Oryctolagus cuniculus: one gene and its partners. The protein of the gene in region 1 interacts with the protein of each later gene in a pairwise test. Links are inferred from orthologs where the notes say so. Each region holds a gene or a part of one and is shown in the gene's direction. Other genes may lie near its edges. The genes, in order: GADD45G, ARPC5L, LRIF1, TSNAX and AFAP1L1.

Region 1 (4,048 bases):
CCTGGAACCCAGGGAGCCGGCGGCTGCAGCGCGCCTCCGCCGGGGAACGCCAGCGCCTCGCCCGGCCCTAGGCTGCCAAGCGTGCCCGGCTCCAGGGCGCCGGCAGCAAGGCTCGGCGTTCCTAAGTCCGGGAGCCCGCAGTACCGCCGGCCTGAAAAAGAGCCCGAAGGCAAAGCACGGAGCCACCAGGCTGTTTTCCCCAGGGACCCCGCCCAGCGCCCCGGCCGGAAAGGAGGAGCCCGGGTGTGCGTCCCGGGGCGCGCAGCACCGCCAGCCGCAGACCTGCGAGTCCCATAGGGCCCATAGCTGCAAGCTGCAGCCTGCAACGCTCTCCCAAGAGCACTTCCGGTCTCCCTATCCCCTCGTTGGAACCCAGGCTTGTTACAGACGCACGGTCAAGTCCTCCCGGCTGTTTCAACCCAGCCAGAGCCACACGGGCTCTGAACTCAGTCAGTTCTCCCCAGGAGGCCCCCTTCGCCCCCAGTCTCCAAGCCCCACCCGGGTGCGTGCGGCACGCTTTGTTCTGTCTCCACTGCGGCGCAGCTTGGCCGCGGTCAGGGGCGGGTGCGTGTGTGGCCCGCGGTTCTGTGTGTCCTGTAGGTGGCGCCCCGGGAGGGGGAATTCCCAAGCCGCGCTCCCCAAACCCGAGCCAGAGCCGCGAGGTCTGCGTGCAGCAGCCCCGCGGCCTTTCCAGCTCGCGCGAGGGGCTCGGCACGCGGCCCAGGCGCCGGCGGGGTGGGATTACGCCCAGGGGCCGGCGCAGGGGGCGCGCCACGGGCTGCGGCAGGTGGACAGTGCTGCTATGAAGAGAAAGCCCCGATTGTCCCCTCTACAAACCGCCACACGCCAGACCCCTGCTATTGTGCGCCTTCCATAGAAATGCAAAGGAGCCGCGTGCGCCGGCCGCAAGCTGCTCGCGCCCCCGCCGGCGCCCCGCCGCGCAGGGCCACGGGCGGGGAGGCGGCCTGCGGGTGCGACCCCGAAGGTCCTGGAGCAGGCTTGGCCGGCGTGGCCGGCCGCGCTGCGGGCTGCAGAGTCAGCGGCGGGAGCCTGTGCCTTTTGCAACCCCCCTCCCCCCCAAAAGTGGCGCTGCGTGTTTTTGCTTTAATTTCCAGGGTCAATACAACAGCCTCACAAACTTCAAAATAAAAGAAAAAAATAGGTAGCAATAAGAATAAATGCAAAGAAAATTCTTTTAGAATCTTCAAAGGTGCATTTCACAAATTGCAGCATCGTATTCGCGTTAGCACTTTTTTTTTTTTTAACTTTTTCCTTTTAAGGACTTAAAAAAAAAAGGAGGCGAGATGAAATCTGCAGGCTCCAGTCTGCCTGGTAACACTCCGACAAAAGCGGCAGATTTGAGGCATTGTCATCCCCCGCACCCCTCCCCACGTGGCCTTCTGGCACGAGCCGCCGGCCCGCCGCTCATTTGCATCAGAAAGCGGGAGCCGGCCAATGGGCACGCAGCTTCGCGCCAGCTGGCGGCGCCGCGCCCGCCGGCCTATATAAGGGCTCGCCGCGCCGCCCGGGCGCAGTCGCTGGCTGTGGGCGCGCCGGGCGGGCGGGAGCGGGTGCGCGGCTCAGCTGCCAGTCCTACGCGCGTACGGCTCTTGGATAACTTGCTGCTCGGCCACCGCACCATGACTCTGGAAGAAGTCCGCGGCCAGGACACGGTTCCGGAAAGCACAGCCAGGTGGGTCTCCCCGTGCGCGACTTGTCTGCTGGGCTGGGAGCCGAGCACCGTCGGTGCCGATGGGCCCGGGGCGCAGGGGTGGGTGGCAGGCGCCTTGCCGGGTGGCGAGCCTCCGGGGGATGTAGGCTCCGGATTGGAGAGCTTCAGGAGGATCGGGAAGCTGGGGTGCAGGAAGCTTGCCGGAGCAGGGGCCTTGGGGTGTGGGCGCCTTGGTTCAGGCTGGGGAGCCGGGGGTGCACACTCGGGACCGGGGAGGAGACGGGGTACGGATTGCGGCGCCTCGGCTGGCTCCACTGACGGTGCTGGCTCGTCCGCAGGATGCAGGGCGCCGGGAAAGCGCTGCACGAGCTGCTGCTGTCGGCGCAGCGCCAGGGCTGTCTCACCGCCGGCGTCTACGAGTCCGCCAAAGTCCTGAACGTGTGAGTATAGACGCGGCCCGGGCGGGGGCGACCGGCGGCGGCGGCGGAGGCGGCGGCGGCGGCGGGGAGCCACCGGCCCGCGGGGCTCTGACCTCGGGAACTCCTCCTGCGCAGGGACCCCGACAATGTGACCTTCTGCGTGCTGGCCGCCGACGAGGAGGACGAGGGCGACATCGCGCTGCAGATCCACTTCACGCTGATCCAGGCGTTCTGCTGCGAGAACGCCATCGATATCGTGCGCGTGGGCGACGTGCAGCGGCTGGCCGCGATCGTGGGTGCCGGCGAGGAGGCGGGCGCGCCGGGCGACCTGCACTGCATTCTCATCTCGGTGAGTGTCGCCCCGCTCCCCCAGCGCCTCCCCTCACCCCGGCGCGGTCGGCCAGGCTGGCTGACGCTTGCGCTCTCCCCTCTCCTTAGAACCCCAATGAGGACGCGTGGAAAGACCCTGCCTTGGAGAAACTCAGCCTGTTCTGCGAGGAGAGCCGCAGCGTCAACGACTGGGTGCCCAGCATAACCCTCCCCGAGTGACAGCCCGGCGGGGACCTTGGTCTGATCGACGTGGTGACGTCCCGGGGCGCCTAGCGCGCGGCTGGCTGTGGAGGGGCCCTCGGAGGGTGCCAGAGCACGGCGTGGAGACTGGCAGGCGGGGCGTCTGGCGGGCGCGGAGGCGCGGCCCCCCCAGCGGGGGCCCGGCGGCGGCTGTGGCGGCGGCGGCGGCGGGGCAGGCTGGCTGGAGCCGAGGACGCTGCGCACCGCGAGTGTCCGGAGCGGCTGCTCGCCCAGGAAGGCCGAGGCGGGGACGTTGGCCGCAGGGCCGGGAAGGACACAGACCGGCCGGGCCAGCGTGACTCAGCAGGAGGAGAGCGCGGGCGAGACGGCCTGGACTTGGTCGGGCTGCAGGAGCCTGTGGGACTTAGCAGACTGCGCTGCCTTCTCAGAAACGGATCCGGGCAATGCTTCGTCTTCCGGAGGATGTCTTACAATAAACCCCTTGAAACAGACTCCTGTGCTTTTACTGAGGGTGGGGACCCTTGCTCGGGGAGGTGGCCAGCTGGAACTGCTTGGCGCGGATGGCACCTGTTCCCGTCTTCCTGTCGGGCGAGAATGACAGGCTCCTGGTGCTGGCCGCGGGGGGAGGGGAGGCTGCTGGGTGTGAGGGCACAGCCTGAGCGAGGCTCCCAGGTCTCTGCTTTTGGACAGATTATAGAACTTGCAAGCGAGGGGCAGACTTGAGAACAGGCATCCCTGCAGCAGCTCAGGGCTCGCCATCCTATCGGATAACAGTGACCTCCACCTCCCTCCCCTCCCCCACCCCGGACAGCTGCTTATCTGAACAGCTTGCAGGAGGCAGGCAGCCCCTTCGTGCACAATGGCATTGCCTGCTACAGCCCCAGCCCTTTGTGGTCCCAGAGCGCGATGGCAGGCAGGATGTTTCTCCTATGAAATGCTGGGACACAAAGCAGTGTTACAAAGGTATTAATATCAACCGTGACACTGGTGAGTGCTGAAGGATGAGTCAGTCTCCCATCACGGCTGGGCTAGAACTTCCAGGATCCCAGCAGAAATCGGAAGGCGGCGTGTGTGTGTGTGTGTGTGTGTGTGTGTGTGTGTGTATAAATAGGGGTGAGCAATTCCGATCTGCCGACTGCATCAGCTGTCGGCTATTTGGAAAGTTCTCAGCCCACATCAGCGCTGGGAGGATCTGGGAGGATTGCGGATAGAATGAGCCTTGAGGGTTTTGGAGGCAGGTAGCTAGAAGAGAACGTTCTGAGTCTGTTGGTCTGCTTTTATTAGAGCAGCTGCGTCTTGATTGTACTCCCCGTGCCCTGCAATTTGCCTTCTGCAGGAGAGGTGCACGTGGGGCGTGCATGGTCTTAGCTAGGTTGCCAGGCAGCCCGACCTGAGAACATCGTGCTGTTTCTAAGGTGGCCGCGGG
Region 2 (3,680 bases), about 90 Mb from region 1:
GGCTGGGTCGCCGCCCAGTCTGAAGGCAGCGGGGCGCAGGAGGCCCAGCCCTGTCTGGGGGCTCCGTTCTCAGGGGGCCTCGCCGCACGGCGCAGCAGACACCTGGTCGGGCCTGGTGCTATTTCTGAAGCTTGTGGCTGAAGCCAGTGTTTCACATGATGTAACTCGGTTTAAAATAGGTGTCGCCTTTGGGGACTTAACCCAGATTGTCATTTTCTTTTGCATGCTGGGTATTGGCAAAGAATGTGGTATCAGGATTGCCACTGAGGTTTGGGCGGGGCAGAGTGGCTCCTCTGTGGGCCGAGGGTTCTCACAGACTGGCAGTCGGACCTCTCTGGCCACGGTAGCTCCTGGAAGAGAGAAGCGTTAGTGTCTCTTCATTCCTTTAGTAGTGGAATTGATACAAAGCATCCGTGAAGAATTAGGAGACTTCCGGTTGTGCCTTCCTGCTTCCCTTTGTAGAGAGATGAGAGAGGCCTGTGAGTGCCCGGTGGGGGCAGGTGGGGCGCTGGGCGGGGCCCCTGGGACCTCACTGCAGTTGGCCCTTAGGGGCAGCTGCTTTGTGGGGAGGCAGAGAGGCGCTGCCTGGGGCTCAGGCAGCTCCAGGCTGTGAAGCAGCTGGGCCTCGGGATCCTCGTGAAGCGCCCCGGAGCGGTTCGGATTGGGCCCACGGTGCGCGCGGACACGCTTGGCCTGGCTGACCTTAACGGATGCTGGTGCACAGGGGACATGCTTCGGGCGTTCCACGCCGCCTTGCGGAACTCTCCGGTCAACACCAAGAACCAGGCTGTGAAGGTAAAGGGGCGGGGCAGGGCCCCGTCAGTGTGTGCAGCTCCCGAGGGCCTCCCTCCGGGGACTTGGCCCTGTTCTGCTTCTGTGGGCTCTGAATGCACAGGGAATTTACGGCTTCTCAGAGTCCTGTTCACACGGCCTGGAAAGAGGACAGATTACACTGCTGGCTGCGGCCTCCTCGATGCCGGGACGTGGGTCTTGACGGGGGCCGCAGCGAGTCAGCCTGTGTTCTCGAAGGGGCACCTCCTCCTCCACCGTCCGATCCTGTGGGGCCTCGCGCCTTGCTGGCGCCTGCCCAGGAAAGCACCTCCTCCATGGGAAGTGGAGGAACTCAGTTACTCGGTCATCGACAGGCAGTACTGCGTACTCTGAGCCAGTGGGAGAATCTTAGCCCACTTTTTTTAAAAAGCTGTCTGATCCTAGATCGAGTTAGAAACTGGGCAGTGCTTCTGGCGAGCTCCTCCCACTTGTGCCTACAGTGGGGCAAGGATGGGCCCGGCTGTGGCTCTGGGCCTCACGCGCGCTCTTTCCTCTGCAGGAGCGAGCCCAGGGCGTGGTGCTGAAGGTGCTCACTAACTTCAAAAGCAGCGAAATTGAGCAGGCGGTGCAGTCTCTGGACAGAAACGGCATCGACTTGTTAATGAAGTACATTTATAAAGGGTTTGAGAAGCCCACGGAAAACAGCAGTGCAGTGCTGCTTCAGTGGCATGAAAAGGTACGTGGACATGCCGGCCCCGTGCCCAGCCCCTGCCTCACCCCGGGCTTCAGCAGGCGCCCTGCGAGAGCCGGGGCCAAGCCTCCACTTGGGACCCTTGGTCCCCTCCCCCTCCCAGGGAAGCACCTGGTCGGGCTCTGCTGTCTCTGGTACACTCACTTTATAGCTGCTGCTTTGTGCCAGGCAGGACAGGGGGCCCTTGCTGTGTGCCATGGGTGCAGGTGACCAGGCGTGGTGTGGAGTGGCAGGGATGCTTCCTGGCTGGCTGGCGCGTCATGGTACTTTCTTTGCATTGGTGGAGTCAACTGCTGGGTGAGTGGGGTGGTCCTAGGATGAAGGCTGAGCCTCCTCGCCAGCTTGGAGGGCTTCTGGCCCCGGCCTCAGCAGGCCAGAGCGTGCAGTGGGCAGCAAACACGACAGTCATTTACCATGGCCTCGTCCGCCTGCCGCTCTTCACCTGGGTGCCTTCCGTCAGGCCTGCGTGCCCACTGCCCTGCCCCGCATGCCCCCTTGACAGGGGTCAGGCGCTGGGGGCGGGGCGAGCAGTCCCCCTGCGCGGTGTGGAGGCCACTCCAGTGGGCCGGTGTGCGTTCCTGTGCCTCGGGCAGCGCTGGCAGCCTGGAAGCGAGGGACTTGCTGAGAGAGGAACTGTGGCTCTGCCGGGCGTGCACGGTGCCTGGGCCCGGGCCACTCCTGCTGCCGGAGGCGGTGGTCACGTCGCAGGAGTCCTTTCTCCGAGGGTCGGCACATGCGGTCAGGCTGGGGGGCGTGGGCCCGTCGTGGCCAGCCAGGTCTCACCTGACACATTTCCTTTTCCTGCTCCGCAGGCCTTAGCAGTAGGAGGACTAGGCTCCATTATTAGAGTTCTTACAGCAAGAAAGACTGTTTAAAAGTCAAAGGACTTGTTACCTCGAGAACTTTGGATGCCCAGGCCGGTGCAGAAGGGACTGACAATGGACCACCTTCCTAGGAGCGCCCGACTCGACTCTTCCAGGACTCGTGGCCGCTGAAGTGTATTTTATTTTCAAGGTGGAGGGAGAAATCGTCTGTTTCCCAAATCCTCTGCAGGACCTGATCGTCTCTTTTGCCTTCGTCTACACAGTACTGCAGAACGGGCACTGGGACCGGACAGAGAGGCTGGCCAGCACTGGTCAGGTGGAGCTGTGCGTGCTGCTGGCTGAGGCTGGGGGAGGGATGGTTTGGGCAGGTGCAGACCCAAGGGCTGTGGTGAAAGGGACAGCTTGTGGGAAAACCCGAGTTTGTACAGACCCCTGACCTCCCGGGAAGGTGGGCTCTCGGGTTCGTTGTAAAGTGCCTGCTGCATCAATAAAGCTCTTGGCTTCTTAGTATACACATCGCGGTGTCTTGTCTCTGAAAGGTAGGGTGGGATGGGATGGGAACGAGAGAGTTTGGCTGTTCCAGGAACTCTGGACGGGCTCGAGAGTGTCCCTGCTTGGCCGCTGCGAGCCTCGGCTGAGAGGTTTGCTCAGTAACTGTTGTTCCTCACTCCTTTGACCTGGGTGTCACTCTGGAGCTCACTTAAGCGAATGCAGAGCCAGGCATTTGATGATCAGTCAGGTCTTCAGTCTGTGACTACACTTGGTCTGCGCTGAGGGTGGGCCTGAACACCCCTGGTTCCCAGCTCCGGCTCTGCTGGGTGCAGCAGCAGCGTGAAGCATCAGCAGGTTTTCTTTTCTTTAAGTATTTATTTGAGAGGGAGAAAGAAGCTGAATGAGAGCTTCCATTTGCTGCTTCACTCCCAAGTCCTGCCGTGGGCCCAAGCTCAATGCAGGCCCCCACGGGGGTGGCCAGGACTCAACAACTGTTCAGCATCGCTTCCGCCTCCCAGGGTGTGCACAGCAGGAAGCCAGAACTGGTAGCGGAGCTGGGATTCAAACCCAGGCACTATGGGATCTACTGTGGGATGTGGGGTCCCAAGCTCCTGCCCGGACAAGGGTTCTTAAAAGAACTAAAAGCCGGGCACAGGGAACAGCCAGTGGGTGCGAAGGAGGTGATGTAACCACTCACAGCAAGCCCTCTTTTCCAGCTCACGGGAGAGCTCTGCGCTGTCAGAGGTAGGGACCCGAATGCCTCTGCAAGCTCCTCTGACCAAAGCACCCCACCCCTCCCCGCTTTGTAGAATGACTGTGGTCTTTGGGCGGTAGGACTAGGC
Region 3 (4,973 bases), on another chromosome or scaffold:
GGAAAGCAAGGGTCATGTACTCAAGAATGTACTCTTCTCTAAAGGGAGAACATCCACTTTGCTTATGCCCATGTCCAAATACCAATGGAGTCACAAAAGGCTTCCATAGCCTTGGTAGCCCATGGCAGGAACCTCGGGTGATCACTGACGTCATTAATGAGTGTTAATTATTCAAGGAACAACAGAAGTCACTGTGCACTTACACCCCATGTAGTACCTCCATCCTTAATGAGTTGTACTATGAGAATCAACTGCAAATTTTGTTCCCAAACTGTACTCATATGTCATGTGTGTGTGTGGGTGCAAACTGTTGAAATCTGTGCTTAACATGGAGTTGGTCCTCTGTATATAAAATCAAACTAAAAATAAGTGTTTCAGGCATGGAAAGCCAAGACAGTGTGGCAAAAAAAAAAAAAAAAATGTCTTACATGAAGGACCTCAGTGGGTGAGACTCTATTGGAAAGAAGTGGACATCACACTTTTCAATGAAGGAAGGAGAGAACTTCCACTCTGCTTATGGCTTTGTCTAAATACTGACAGAGTTTGTGGATTCAAAAGGCTTCCATAGCCTAGGCAGCTCAAGAGCATCAGGTGATCACTGCCGTCACACTTAAGAATGTTAATTGTTAACAACAGGAGTCACTGTGCACTAACTCCCCATGCATGACTCTATCCTCAAAGAGCTATATGATGTCTAAGTTCCCACAAAGGATGCTTCATTCTTGGGTACTTCTTTAAAGGTAATTAAGTTTCAAAAAAAAAAAAAGTGAAATTAACTTCAAGATGCAATGACTTTGAATAGCCCTTGTCTCCTCTGGTGAGGAACAGTATTTTTTTGTTTTCCCTGCAAAGTGTGGAACTCTTTGAATAGAGTTGATCTTCTGTGTATAAAGTTAATTGAAGATGGATTTTAGTGGAGAATGGGGCTGGGAATAGGAGAGGGAGGAAGAGAAGGAGTGGGCGTGTGGGTTGGGGGAATGGGTATGCTGGGAGGAAACACTATATTCCTAAAGTTCTATTTATGAAATGTACGGTTTGTATTCCTTAAATAAAAGGTTTCTTTGGATGGGGGAGACAAAAAGAGATACTTTTGAAAATGTTTTCCCTATACATAAAAACAAAGTAGCTAAAAAAGTTTACCTAGAGAACGAAACTTTTAGAGAATTCGGGAATTAAGTGTATGACACTAAGTTTTGACTGAGACAAGAATGTTGGGGTAGAAGCAAGGGTTAACAGACTTCGAAGCAAAGCTTCAAAAAGAGGAACAAGGGACATTCAGAGACTGGCGATAATGTATCACTATCAACAAGCATACGACGACTGCAAAACAGCCCGCTGCCGTTCCTTAAGGCTGTGGTGGAGCAGGAACATTACACCAGCGGCGAACACAACGGCAGAAAATTTACTACTGACCCCGGAAGCATTTTATTTCGCGTAGGTGTTTGAAGAACTTTCTTTCGCGATTCGTTCCTTGATCCGGAAGAAGAGAGCAATATCACTTGCGATTGGGTCGTCCTAGGAGGGCGGAGCTCCCGCGAGCCAGTCACGTTGGCGACCGGACGTGACGACAGCGGAAGGCTCTCTCCGCTCGAAGCTCGGTGGGCGGGGTCGGCAGAGCTAAGCGGGCGGCAGTCTTCTCCCCTGAGTCAGCCTTGCTGGGGGCGGCGCCATGAGGGGCACGCCTCTCGCGCCCGCTCCGGCTGGCTCGGGAGCGCTGTCAGCGGCTCGGGGGGGCGGAGCCTAGGGCAGACTCGCAGCGCCGAGCGCGCGCCGTCACCGCCGGGAGTCTTCCGGCTTCTGGGTGGATTCGCATCCTCTCAAGAGGCTGTGGTCGCCCTCCGTTTCTCGTGGAACCCTCTCTGCCAGGCAACTTCTTGAGCCCAACATTCTCGCTCTAGTTCTCGCCCTTCCGAGAACCTCGGCCCCACACGCCCCCATTTCCCTGGATGCGCTGCCCCCTCCCACCCCTCAAAAATGTCCAATAATCTCCGGAGGGTCGTGCTCAAACCCGCTGAGGAGAATTCAGGCAACGCCTCACATTGGTAAGTACCGCGTCCGAAACCGCCGCACGCCCGCCGCGTCTCCTAGCAGGACGTGAGGCGGCCTCCGTTTCCTGACGCTCCGCGGTGGCGAGAGGAGTCGGGCCCCCAGGGTGCGCCACCCCGGCGGGACGCCCGGCGTTAGAGTCCTCGGCGCGGGCGCCTCTCGGAAGCGCAAAACCTCCTCCGAGTCTGACGCAGTCGCAGGACTCCGGCGTCTCAAGTTTCATAGGCGGACCGAGTAGATCTCCACGGGAGCGGAAAACCAACATGGCCGGCCGACGCCGCCTTTTTTTTTTTTTTTTTTTTTTTCCTCCAAATGACCAAAACCTTCTGGAAGATTCTCGTGCGTAGGCAGAAAAACACGCAGGAATCGGCGCGACTTAGTACAAGCCTGGTGGCGCTGGACCTTCAAAGAAAGTAGCCACGTTTTTCTAGCGCTAGTGAGCAAAGACGTTAAGATTGAAGAGAAATGTTCTAGAAAAGGGGAAGTGAATATTTTAAAATTTCTAGTAGCCTTCTATCGAAGAGAGAAGAGTGGAAACATAAATTCTTGTGTGGAGGTAGCCCTGTCGAACAGCAGGTGTAATGAGAGTGCCAGCTCATTGGAAGGCTCCATAGAGGAACTTGTGTTTGACGGAAGGCGATCCCAGTATTACGTAGAAAGACAACTTTTCTTACAAATTTATAAAATCGGTTATCAGTACCTGGAGAATTTTTCCAACAGCTTGAATTAATCAAGATGAAGTAAAGTATTAGCGGAGGCAGAGTATTTTGTATTCTTAATGGTCAGTGGACGTTTTTATAGGTGTTGAGAGAACTGTTAATGGGTCTGCAGAAAGAAATGAATAGAACATGGAAATTCAAGATGCGAAACTTAGGAGATTTGTGTTTGAAGAAAATCAGGCTACTCAAGTTAACCCTAGTTTTGCCAGGTATTTGTGAGGGGAAAAAATTGCCAGTCTAAATAATAGCGCCTAAAGATATTTTTAAGGATTAAAAGAATGAATACGTATAAAGCACTTCGTGCGGAAAAAGGACTATTTCAGTGTTAGCTATTAATACTGTAAGTGCACAATTTTAGTTCCGTACGCATTTTAGCTCAGGAAGTAGATTTTCTTTAATTACCAATAGATAGAAAACCTGATTGCCTAAAGAAGTAATTGGCGATTCTTCAGAAGAATGCACGGTGTTATAAAAGGAAAGGATCACTAATAGCAGTGTGCTAAAACAATACTGAAGAACCCACAAGAGAGAACCATTGAATTGCAAATCGTGCAAAAAGCCAGCTTTTGTGTTCATGTTTTTGGTTTTTGTATGTTTTTTTTTTTTTTTTTTTATTGTGATGAAGTTTGGGGGAAGAGGCAGAGATAGTGCACTGCATAAAAACGAAGGGTAGAGTTTTGGGGGTCGTTTAATTTTTCCTTTTTTTAAAATATTGTGATGAAGTTTTGGGGGAAGAGGCAAAGATAGTGCGATGTATAAAAACGAAGGGTAGGATTTTTGGGGGGAGTTTAATTTTTCCTACCTTGTTTTACTCTGCGTATTTGATGACATGTAACAATGTGATTCACAGGTGATTAGTTTTAGGATTGTGTTCTTTCCCACTGTCATAAATAAGATGAGCTATAATGAAGGTATTTATGGGTACTTTAACTCTTACACAGTTGGTGGTGCGTTTGGTTATTTTGGGATACTTTAAAAATGACTAATTGAATTATGTTTTGGTTACATTCATAGTCCCTTCAAGTTCATTAAGTCATTTATTCATGCATTGTTTTCATGATCTATAACTCATTGATTCATGCGTTGTAACTCATTGATTCTTGCGTTGTTGGTTATCTTTAAGGGCATTTATTTCTTTAAATCACTGAAGTTTTACTTCATGTATTTGGAATATTTACCAGATACCTTTCTGAAGCTGCTTCACGTTTTCGTTATTGGGTGCATCTTTGGGTCTGATCAGTTTTGTAAATAACAACCTGTATGACCTCCTAATATAGTTTTGTAAATAGTGTGATTAAGGGCATCTCTTTTATTTTATTGAAAACTTTTTTTCTTATTTTGCTTAATACTTTTGATGGTACTAAATGATTTACTTTCTTTATAACTGAAAGTGACTAATATATAGAATGTTTATTATTTGAAGTATCAGATTCATCAGCATAAAATCTAATCCTCAAAAAAATGAAAAATCTGGAAGATAATTGTGGTAGTATGCATTTGGTTTATTTAGAATTACATTGAGTGCTTTCTGTGTACATGATAGACTGCTATATAGGGAGATTGAAGAGTGGGATATGGGATATTCCCATGACAGACTTTATGATAGTGGGTTAGGGGTTAAGCTGCTACTTGTGATGCCGGCATCCCATATCGGAGTGCAGTTTGAGTCCCAGCTGCTCTGCTTCCAGAACAGCTTCCTACTAACGTGCTTGGGAAAGCAGCAGAAGATGGCCCAAGTACTTGGGACCCTGCAAGTTGTGTGGGAGACCATGATGAAATTTCTGGTTGCTGACTTTGGCTTGGCCCAGACCTGGCTGTTGAGGCCATTTGGGAGTGAACCAGCGGATTAAAGATCTCTGTCTCTTTCTCTTTCTTGCTGTGCCTTTCAAATAAATCAATCGATCTTTTTTAAAATTAGGTCAAGCCTTACAATGAGGAGTGATGTTTTATTTATGAAAACATTGTGCCACAAGGTGCTGTGAGGGCATGTAAGAAGGGAGTTGCAGGAAAGGTCTCAGGAACAGCTGTTGGGAAACAAGTTATCCGGTTAAAGGTGACTGTAGGATATATCCAAGCAGAGGGGATTAGTAAATAAAGCACAAGTATAGTTTATTAATAATTGGTATTTATTGCTTGAATCTGTAGTACAAGCAGTATAAGTAGATGGCTTTTTTTTTGACAGAATTATAGACAGAGAGAGACAGAGAA
Region 4 (5,013 bases), on another chromosome or scaffold:
GAAACAGTTCACGTTCAGGACTTCTCTCCTCCAAGGCTGACATTCAGAAGTTAATATACCTTCTGGGGCAATAGACACAGCTTCAAACTGCTACTTGAGACACATCTCACTGTGATTCCACTCCTGGTGAGAATTCATTGTGAAAGGGCATCAGCTGCCAGAGGCTCTGCTAGGATGAAAAGCCCTTTGCGTCACTGCTGATGGCTTGATGCGTTCACAATCCTTAAGTATCAATTTGATGTGTCTTCCCAATCATTCATTTGGAAAATTTCTTCTATGGAGGCATGTTATTTATTACTAGCACTCTGTGTTCTGAGTAATTTTTTTAAAATCTATTTTTCACTGTTTTCATGTATTCCTAATTTTTCCTTAATTTGCTTTTGTATGCCTTCCAATAAACTGATCATGTCAGGAACTATCTTTGCCTTACTTGGTCTGTCATTTGAATATAGGATAGGACCAGAACCTCTTGGAAAATTTATAATCCTTGAGGATGAAAATGTCACCAGGTAGTGGCCCAAAGCCCCCAGGAACCATCTTTATCCACAAGGAATTTGGCTTATCAATTCATATATTCAGAGTTGTCAAGGAAAGATGGGTGGTGGTTACTCTCTTGTTTTAGAGTTTGAGTACTCTTTATAGTGATCCCCTAGAGCAGAAAATCTTCCTAGGACACTCTTGTCATGGCCTTCAAGCTACTGCCAGTCTAGCCAGGTTATTTCGTTTACTGCCCCTTCAGCCCTACAGAGGAAATTTATACAATACAGGCCTACAATTTGGAGACTATTTGAAGAAAGCATAATAATACCTACAGTATCTTCCCTACTGGGCCTAGGCCACCCAACTCACTAAGCCTTGGCTTGAGTTTATCACTAAAAAGTGATGAACTGCCACTTGGTTGCCCATCTTGATGATGCGAACATCATTGTTCAACAAACATTGAAAGAGGCTTCCAAGCGGTCAGGGCACGGTACCAAGAATGAGCACGCTGGACGATTAGAGGGTCACGAGGCCTAGTTACGATATCGTACTACAAGCCCATAATAAAAGGCTCACAACTCAGTGGTGCATATCTGTTCTTACTACTAACCCTTCTCTTAAAGAGCTACGGTGCGAGAAGTATCCAAGCTCACCTTCTGAGCCCTAAGGTGAACTCCCACCCCTGTGATACAGATAAAGAAACCGAGACTAACCAAGGCTTCCTCAAGGTCACACAACCAGTCGGGGGCCAGGACAACTTTAAGCTCAAGCAGTCTAGCGCCTGAGGGCCACGAAAAATTTAAGGAAGCTACGAGAGGAAGAAAAAGATGGAAGGAGGACCGATAGGCGGGCTTTGCTCCCGTCAGAGATAACACTAGCAACACACCCACTGATCCATCCGCATATTTCACTACTTAACAGAGAGTTTAGTATCTAGCTCTGCAGGTTCCGCCTCGCTCCACAGAACTCCGTACCGGCTCGGGCGAGCTGCCGCCCCGCCGCCTTCCTCACCAGCACCGCGGGCAGTGCCGCAGGGCCGCCCCCCTCGAGCGAACTACAACTCCCACAGTGCACCGCGCGCCAAGTTGGGCCCACGCTCAGCGCTGGGGAGGGTTTCGAAGGTGCCTTGAGAAAACAATCACGAACATTTTCCGCCGCTGGCCCACCTGCACACAGATCTCACCTCCCGGAGTGTGCGTCCGTGAGATGCGTAGACTCGCTTCTGCTTTCAGGCACAGCATGAGGCAGGTGCGACATCTCGCGGACGCGAGGTCCCCGGACCGTAGGAGGGGCGGGGCCGAAGGCGAGCGTGCAAACCGGAAGTACGCGAGGGGCGAAGGGCGCGGCCCGGGAGGTTACGGGCGCGCGCTTCCGGCCGGTGCGTCGACGTCGGTCTGGCTGCGTAGGGTGGCCCTGCAAGCTCCTTTCCTGGGCTGGGTGGGCCGCCGGGGCCCCGCACCTTGCGCAATCGGCTCCTCCAAGGCCTTCAAGTCTTCGCTGGTCTTATCGTAGGCCGTGACGACATGAGCAACAAAGAAGGTGGCGTCCTCAGCAGAACGGGGTGTAGTGTATCCCCAGGGGTGGTTCTCCAGCCTGTGCGAGCTCACCCTTCTCTCGCGGTTGAAGGATGTCCTCTTCCTAGCACGCTCGGGGAAGCCGGGGGCGGGGGGATTGGAAAGCGGCTCTTCTGCTTCTGTCCTTGGCCGGGTTGGCCGCTGTGTGTACGCCTCTCGGTTTCTTAAGTCTTCGAGCAGTAATTTTCGCCTTGTTTGATGGTTGCTGCACCTGTGCCAGATCTAGGCCCTCTGTGGTGAAAGCCTGGATGGTTGGGGGGGGGGGGGGGCGGGCTGTTTTGCGTCAGTCTGCTGAGAAAAGCCGTTGTGGGTATCTGGTTTTAAAGGAAGAAAGGGGGTTGCCTGTGTTGTTTCGCAGACTCTTGGTGATGGAAGATCCCTATCCACTTTTTTTCTTCTTTTCTGCATAAGGATCAGGAGGGTTCAGGAAAAGGAAGCACGACAATTTCCCACATAACCAGAGAAGAGAAGGGAAGGATGTTAACTCTTCTTCACCTGTGATGTTGGCCTTCAAATGTAAGTTCTCTGTAATGTCAGTTGGTGATGGGGAGAGAACTAAAGGCTGTAACAGAAATTATTCTTGCCATATTGTGCACGAGAAAACAACCCCTAAAAATTTAAGGTGTGTAGAGGTGACATTTAATTTTTTCCAGAGGTTTTGTGAGAGTGCCAGTTCTGAAAAGTCTGAATTTCAAAGGCCTCGGCATTTATGCCCCATTAGTGTAAACAACCACGTTAGTAAACATGTGAACATTACCTCAGTAACGGTGAACGTCAGTTAATAGTAGCAATGCCACATACTTGAAAGTTGCCGTGATCTCATATCTTCTCATTTAGGTGCACTTGCCCTTTTCTCAACATACTGGCTGTCAGTTTGCTGCTGATTGCAAAACAAAAAATCCTCATTCCACTGTCCTCTCTCCACTTACCTAGGCCTTACAGTCTCGTGGTTCATGAATCTAGGAGGGGCTTATCTGGCTCCTTCTGACTTCATTTGCAGTCATCTGAAATTGTGATTGGAGATGGAGGATCCACAGCTCTTGTCGGCCTTCTTACCTCCCCTCACTGCTCTTTCCCTGGGGGCCTCTCCATGGTGCTGCCCCAGTGGCTTCATCTATGATGTCTATCTTACAGAGCAAGGAGGAAACCACAATCCCTTTGTCTTTTTTTTCCTAAGTTCCATGCATTACCTTTTTTTTTTTTTTTTTTTGAGAGAGAGAGATTTTATTTATTTATTTGAGATAGAGAGGAGAGACAAAGAGAAACAGGACTTCCATCCGCTGGTTCACTCCCAAATAGCCACAATGGCCAGAGCTAAGCTGATCCAAAGCCAAGAGCCAGGAGCTTCTTCCAGGTCTCCCACGTGAGTGCAGAGACCCAAGGACTTGGGCCATCTTCCACTGCTTTCCCAGGCCATAGCAGAGAGCTGGATTGGAAGAGGAGCAGCGGGACTTGAACCAGTGCCCATATGGTTTGCTGGTGCCCTAGTCTGAGGCTTAGCCCACAGTGCTGCCCCAACCCCCTTTATGTCTTAATCTCAGGCAGTTTTAGCTCTCACTTTTGCCTTAATGTATTTGTTACAGCAAAGGCATTTTAAAATTGATGCCTTATTTTTAAGGGGAAGAGTATTGGGTACCACCTTTTGAAGTAGAGTGCCAAATAATTTATAGGCCTATTTTAAAACCACAGTAATCTTCAGAGCTCTTTTTTTTTTTTTTAAAAAAGATTTTATTTATTTATTTGAGAGGTAGAGTTACAGACAGTGAGAGGGAGAGAGACAGAGAAAGGTCTTCCTTCTGTTGGTTCACTCCCCAAATGGCTGCTACAGCTGGAGCTGCGCCAATCTGAAGCCAGGAACTTCTTCCTGGTATCCCATGCGGGTGCAGGGGCCCAAGCACTTGGGACATCTTCCACTGCTTTCCTAGGCACATTAGCAGGGAGCTGGATGGGAAGAGCAGCAGCCGGGACTAGAACGGGTGCCCATTTGGGATGCCAGTGCTGCAGGCAGAGGATTAACCTACTGCACCACAGCACCGGCCCCCAGCGCTTGCTACAGCTAGCTGTAATTGAGTCAAGAGCATATTGACAGAGCCACATACTGAGTGAAAAAACTAGTGGGTTGGATATTCCCAGCCTTTCACACTTCCTTGACACGGTGGTTGTTTTCATGCATATTTATCTTATGTTTCTGATCCCTTTAGCCTGGAATTGCTTCTGATTTGATGTCCCCACTACCCATCTAGTGAATTCTTCTTTTTTTCCCCCCAAGATCTAACTTAGGTTATTAGCTTTGAAGCCTTTCTGATTTTTCTCCCAAGCAGCCTTGGTGATAGACTCACATTCATTCATATACATCCACCTGGTAATGAAATATTTAAGTATCTGCTATGTTCTAGCCTGTGTTAATGGAGAACAAGAAGAGTGTGGTTCTTTCCTAAACCCTTTACACATATTAATTATGGTTGTATTTTATTTAATTTGTTTATGTCCCTGTGTCTTGTACTGGAATGAGCTTTTTGGCGACAAGGAATTCTGTCTTTTGTAATCATAGTATCTGACTCTGCTCATTAAAGTATTTATAATAAATAGTGAAACAGGTTCATGTTCATTATCTTTAACTATAAGGCAAAATCCTGGCTAATTATTACCTGGGTGTTGAAGAACCAGATATGTTGACATCTTTGTCAGCTACTAAGTTAGTTAATAGCTTAATTAAATCCTCTTTTTAAAAATTTGTGTAGAATACATTTTTGCCTCCTCATAGGCCAGGCAGCTTGCTGAACCTTTAGAGTAAAAATGCTTGAGAAAATAAGTAAGTATTAAGAAAGTTAAGGGTTTTTTCCTTCTCCTTTTCTTTTCTTTTCTTTTTTTTTTTAAGTTTATTTGAAGGACAGAGTTAGAGAGGACATCTGTTTCACTCCCCAAATGGATGTGATGGCTGGAGCTGAGCCAGGCTGGA
Region 5 (4,253 bases), on another chromosome or scaffold:
TTTCTGGCACATGATTGCAGCTGACAACTACTTGTTAGCTAATTATCTTGTGCTGGGGGAGTTGGGGGATACTGAACCAATAAAGGGGTCTTCATCAGTGTGTCCTCTAATATGAGGCTGTCTGTGTCCTACTCCAGAGGCTGTCCCAAGAGAAGCAGACCTCAGACTCGGATAGCTTGAGCACAGGTGACAACTGTTCCACCCTTGGCCGTCGGGAGGCATGTGAACATGGTAGGAATCTACGGGCTCAGGATGGGGGATACCAGAGCTGGGAGGGGACACAATGGCAAAGCAGATGCTGACCAGTTTGGAGACCTGGGTAAGATGATCCAGCCTGGCATACTTGGAGCCACAGACCAGTCACCACGGGGGCAACAGGGAAGTCCAGGGTTGGGTGAAAGTGGGATCTGGGGCTCCCCACTTTCCTGATGCATCTCTGTACAACAGGCAAAGGAAAGAAGAGTAGCCTGGCGGAGCTGAAGGGCTCCATGAGCAGGGCTGCAGGCCGCAAGATCACCCGCATCATCAGCTTCTCCAAGAAGAAGGCCCTGGCTGATGACCCGCAAACACCCTCTGCCGAGGAGGTTCCATGCTGTGGTGGGTGTGGGCCATGGGGAGGAGGGAGGTCTGGCCTAGTGGACATGGGGTCTTGAGGCTGAAGCCAGGAGCCCTGCCATGCCTCATCCACCTCACACCCATGGCAGAAGAGAGAATCCCAGGCCAATGGATGGCTTAACACTAATTTGTCAACAATCAACATGTCAATCACCATCCTGGCCCCATTACCTCTCCCACAATGCTCAGCAAAAGGAATAGCCAGCTGATGCCCATATTCCTGTGCTCCTGTGACCTTACCCCAAATCCCTGTCTATCTCTGCACTTCGCTGTCTCAGTTTCCCCCACTGTAATAAGAGGAAAGTACAGACCTTTACCTTATTTCCCAGCCGATAACATGCCAGGCCTACAATTTACATCCAGTCTTAGATAGAAATGTCTGGATATAAGTAGGTAAGTGCATTCAGTTTGAGTTAAAAGTGGCTTGGAGGTGGGACACATTTTATTAAATGAAGGATTCCATATACTGGAATTCAGTAGAAAGTCATACCAGTGTTTTAAATAGGCAGTAATATTCTACTGGCCCTGAAAAAAAATTATAAAAACCTGTAGCCTCAAATAAAAATTTTGTCATCAGGGAATAATGGCATGTCAGTGTAAAAAGATTAAAGCCTAAAACAATAAGAAGAAATTCTAATTCATCACCTGCTGTACTGTGCTTATGCCTTGCTCTGTCTTCTAATGGTTTCCCTCAGCTAGATGTTCCTGTTCCCACACGCTGCCACCAGGTGTCACCATCTGCCATTATTGTCCAGCTTTTAGTGACAGTTTTATTTTAAGGTGAGGAAAGGCAGGAAGGACAATGTGTTGGTAGTTCCTGCCCTTGCCGCTGACCTTCATGTGGCCCCAAGACCATGCAGGTGTATATGGACAGGGATATCACTGCCCATATCCCAGCTACTTAGTGGACACTCATCACGAGATACCCAAGATCACCAACCGGAAAGGCCCAGATGCCTTCTCTCCAGCTGCAGGCTGGGCATGTCCTGGTGTTCTCTCCCATGTGTGAACCATGCACCTGGCCTGCATCACACCACCCTCTCCCCTGCCAGGCTACCTGAACGTGCTGGTGAGCCAGGGCTGGAAGGAACGCTGGTGCCGCCTCCAGCACGGCACACTGTATTTCCACAAGGACCGCAACGACCTGCGCACTCATGTGAATGCCATCGCCCTCTGCGGCTGCGAGGTGGCCCCAGGCTTTGGGCCCAGACACCCCTTTGCCTTCAGGATCCTGCGCAACCGACAGGAGGTGGCCATCTTGGAGGTGAGAGGAGGGTCCAGGACGCTCTTGGTAATGGACTCTGGCCTGGGTGTCTCTCTTTTTTTTTTTTTTTTTTTTTTTGGAGGGGATACTTGCTATTAACACGGCAGGGACTAGGGGGAAAGAAAGGCAAGCCTAGGGGCTGTTGAGTGACCTGGCAGGGTAGCCAGATAACATCCAGGACACCCAAATCAGTCTGAATTTCAAGTATACAATGAATGATGTTTTTTACACAAATATACCCATGCAAGATTTGGGACATACCTAAACTCAAAGATTATTCATTGTCGACCTGAAATTCAAACTTAACAGAGCATTCTGCATTTGTTATTAACTCAAACTGCCAGCCCTAAAATCAAAGCTTGTTTATGCCCCTGATCTTAAAATGAAAGGCACCTGGTCTAATCTAACTGGGACCTGACCCCAGGAACATCCCCCCAGGGTTCAGCCACCTCTGCTGAACCACTCTGCTGAACCACTCCCCTTGAAGGTAGTATGCCTGTCCCATCAAACAACTCAGACTGTGTAGCAAGATTTCCCCATACTGAGCTAAAGTCTAAAAGCTCCATCAAAGCAATCATTATGCATACTTTTTCAAGGGGTTGGCATACTTTCATTTTTCTAGAACCCTGCCAGATATCATGTGCACAAACACATAATGTAGGCTCTTAACAAACACTTATAGAACAAATGAGGGAATGAAATGTGGCTTCACGTCTGTCATTCATTATCCCTCCTACCTTCTCCGAAATCATGCAGGAGGCATTCAAAGTCTCTTCCACATGGCAGTCCTCTGGCTATTGAGAGTCAACAGTGGAGAACAACTTAACCACCTTCTCACATTACAGATAGGGAAACTCAGGCCAGGGCAGACAAGTGCTTTGTCTCTTCCTAGACCTTGAACCCAGCCTCCTGCTCCCATTGCCTTTGCCCACAACCCAACCATTGCTTCCTCTGGAACTTGCTTCCATTTTTTGCTAGTTTGAGTCTCTTATTCTCTCTTAATTTACACTTCAAGCTTTCTAGAAAAAAATGTAGCTCCTTTATTCAGTTTTGGCATTTGAGTGTTAAATTAACTTTACAATAATAGTCTCTAAATGAGAATTTACATTAAGTATGAGTTGTTTTTGGACACTTTGCTGTATACAATGCTATAAATATTGTCAATTATAATACAAAGGAAAATTAATGGCATTGTATGAGAAATAGTCTAATAAAAATACTTTTTTAGAAAAAGTCAGGGTATTTGTTTTTATTACTATAAGGAAATTCCTGAGGCAACTGATTTATAAAGACAAAAGGTTTTCTTTGGCTTACAGTTCTGGAGGTTAGCAGTTCAAAATCAGGTGGTCCCACTGGCTCCATCACTGGTGGTAGCTTTCCTGCTGGCAGACTCCTGTACAGGGAATCACATGGTAAGAGACAGGGAACATGCACCTGTCTGTATCTATGTGATCTCTTATAAAACCACCAGGATTCAGTCATGGACACTCCACCCAATGACTTAATCCAACCCAGTCACTCTGCAAAGCCCTAGCTCCCAACAGCAAAATTACATTTCATTTCCATCCTCTTAGAACCATAAACAGGAGTTTGGGGACCAAACTCCCAAGTTTTGGGGGAACAAATAGTCAAGCCATAGTTCAGGTAACATCTGAATACAAACAAGTGGTTCAGAGGACCTGGGCTACAGAGTGAAGTCATGTTATCTTAGAGAGATAGTCCAGGAAGGCCTCTCTGAAGACATGGCAGATACCTAGAGCGAAGAGGGCAGCCTCTTGGATTTCTGAGTGTGTATTCTCATCTCATTCCTCTGTGATCTGTAAGTATTGCATGTGCAGTAGATACTTAGAAATATTTGTGGCTTTGGCTGGAATAAGCAGGGAGCCAGATGCACTGGCAGTGCCAAAATGGACTCCCCCTGTGCTTCTTCTGCAGGCAAACTGTTCAGAGGACATGGGTCGCTGGCTGGGGCTGCTGCTGGTAGAGATGGGCTCCAAAGTCACACCTGAGGCACTGCACTATGACTACGTGGATGTAGAGACCTTAACCAGCATCGTCAGTGCTGGGCGCAACTCCTTCCTGTAAGAGACCCCTGGGCTACCACACCTGGCCAGGGCCCCTCGTGTCTCTGCTCTGTCTCAGAGGCTCAGAGTCCATCCTGGGGAACTGGGAGGAAGGGGAGGAAGAGCTGAGGAGGACGGTGCTTCCTTGGGAAGCTAGAAAGATGCCTTCCCCTTCCAGCAAGGAGGAGCTCGCTATAGGAGAGAACCGGGGATCAACGGCAGCTGGGGATGGAATAAGCAAAGGTGGAGGAGTCCTGGAGCAGTGGCCTGGGCTCTGCCCACCTGCCCAGGACTGTAGGCTCCAGGACTGT

The links.
Region 2: the proteins of GADD45G (region 1) and ARPC5L interact in binary tests that used the Homo sapiens proteins (3 or more experiments, as listed by UniProt). The link is inferred for Oryctolagus cuniculus from reciprocal best matches to the Homo sapiens genes GADD45G and ARPC5L.
Region 3: the proteins of GADD45G (region 1) and LRIF1 interact in binary tests that used the Homo sapiens proteins (3 or more experiments, as listed by UniProt). The link is inferred for Oryctolagus cuniculus from reciprocal best matches to the Homo sapiens genes GADD45G and LRIF1.
Region 4: the proteins of GADD45G (region 1) and TSNAX interact in binary tests that used the Homo sapiens proteins (3 or more experiments, as listed by UniProt). The two-hybrid records come from large-scale screens. The link is inferred for Oryctolagus cuniculus from reciprocal best matches to the Homo sapiens genes GADD45G and TSNAX.
Region 5: the proteins of GADD45G (region 1) and AFAP1L1 interact in binary tests that used the Homo sapiens proteins (3 or more experiments, as listed by UniProt). The two-hybrid records come from large-scale screens. The link is inferred for Oryctolagus cuniculus from reciprocal best matches to the Homo sapiens genes GADD45G and AFAP1L1.

What each region holds. Positions count from the first base shown.
Region 1 is NC_091432.1:138,326,515-138,330,562, forward strand, and holds GADD45G (growth arrest and DNA damage-inducible protein GADD45 gamma), read left to right. Parts: upstream 1-1,522; 5' UTR 1,523-1,640; coding exon 1,641-1,693; intron 1,694-2,010; coding exon 2,011-2,112; intron 2,113-2,226; coding exon 2,227-2,440; intron 2,441-2,529; coding exon 2,530-2,640; 3' UTR 2,641-3,113; downstream 3,114-4,048. UniProt on the Homo sapiens protein: Involved in the regulation of growth and apoptosis. Mediates activation of stress-responsive MTK1/MEKK4 MAPKKK.
Region 2 is NC_091432.1:228,724,613-228,728,292, forward strand, and holds the end of ARPC5L (actin-related protein 2/3 complex subunit 5-like protein), read left to right. Parts: intron 1-722; coding exon 723-795; intron 796-1,330; coding exon 1,331-1,507; intron 1,508-1,690; exon of another isoform or gene 1,691-1,785; intron 1,786-2,334; coding exon 2,335-2,397; 3' UTR 2,398-2,860; downstream 2,861-3,680. UniProt on the Homo sapiens protein: May function as component of the Arp2/3 complex which is involved in regulation of actin polymerization and together with an activating nucleation-promoting factor (NPF) mediates the formation of branched actin networks.
Region 3 is NC_091438.1:59,372,788-59,377,760, forward strand, and holds the start of LRIF1 (ligand-dependent nuclear receptor-interacting factor 1), read left to right. Parts: upstream 1-1,575; 5' UTR 1,576-1,974; coding exon 1,975-2,042; intron 2,043-4,973. UniProt on the Homo sapiens protein: Together with SMCHD1, involved in chromosome X inactivation in females by promoting the compaction of heterochromatin.
Region 4 is NC_091444.1:51,050,022-51,055,034, forward strand, and holds the start of TSNAX (translin-associated protein X), read left to right. Parts: upstream 1-1,828; 5' UTR 1,829-2,003; coding exon 2,004-2,019; exon of another isoform or gene 2,020-2,465; coding exon 2,466-2,570; exon of another isoform or gene 2,571-5,013.
Region 5 is NC_091437.1:36,694,226-36,698,478, forward strand, and holds part of AFAP1L1 (actin filament-associated protein 1-like 1), read left to right. Parts: intron 1-137; coding exon 138-231; intron 232-447; coding exon 448-597; intron 598-1,667; coding exon 1,668-1,879; intron 1,880-3,814; coding exon 3,815-3,960; intron 3,961-4,253. UniProt on the Homo sapiens protein: May be involved in podosome and invadosome formation.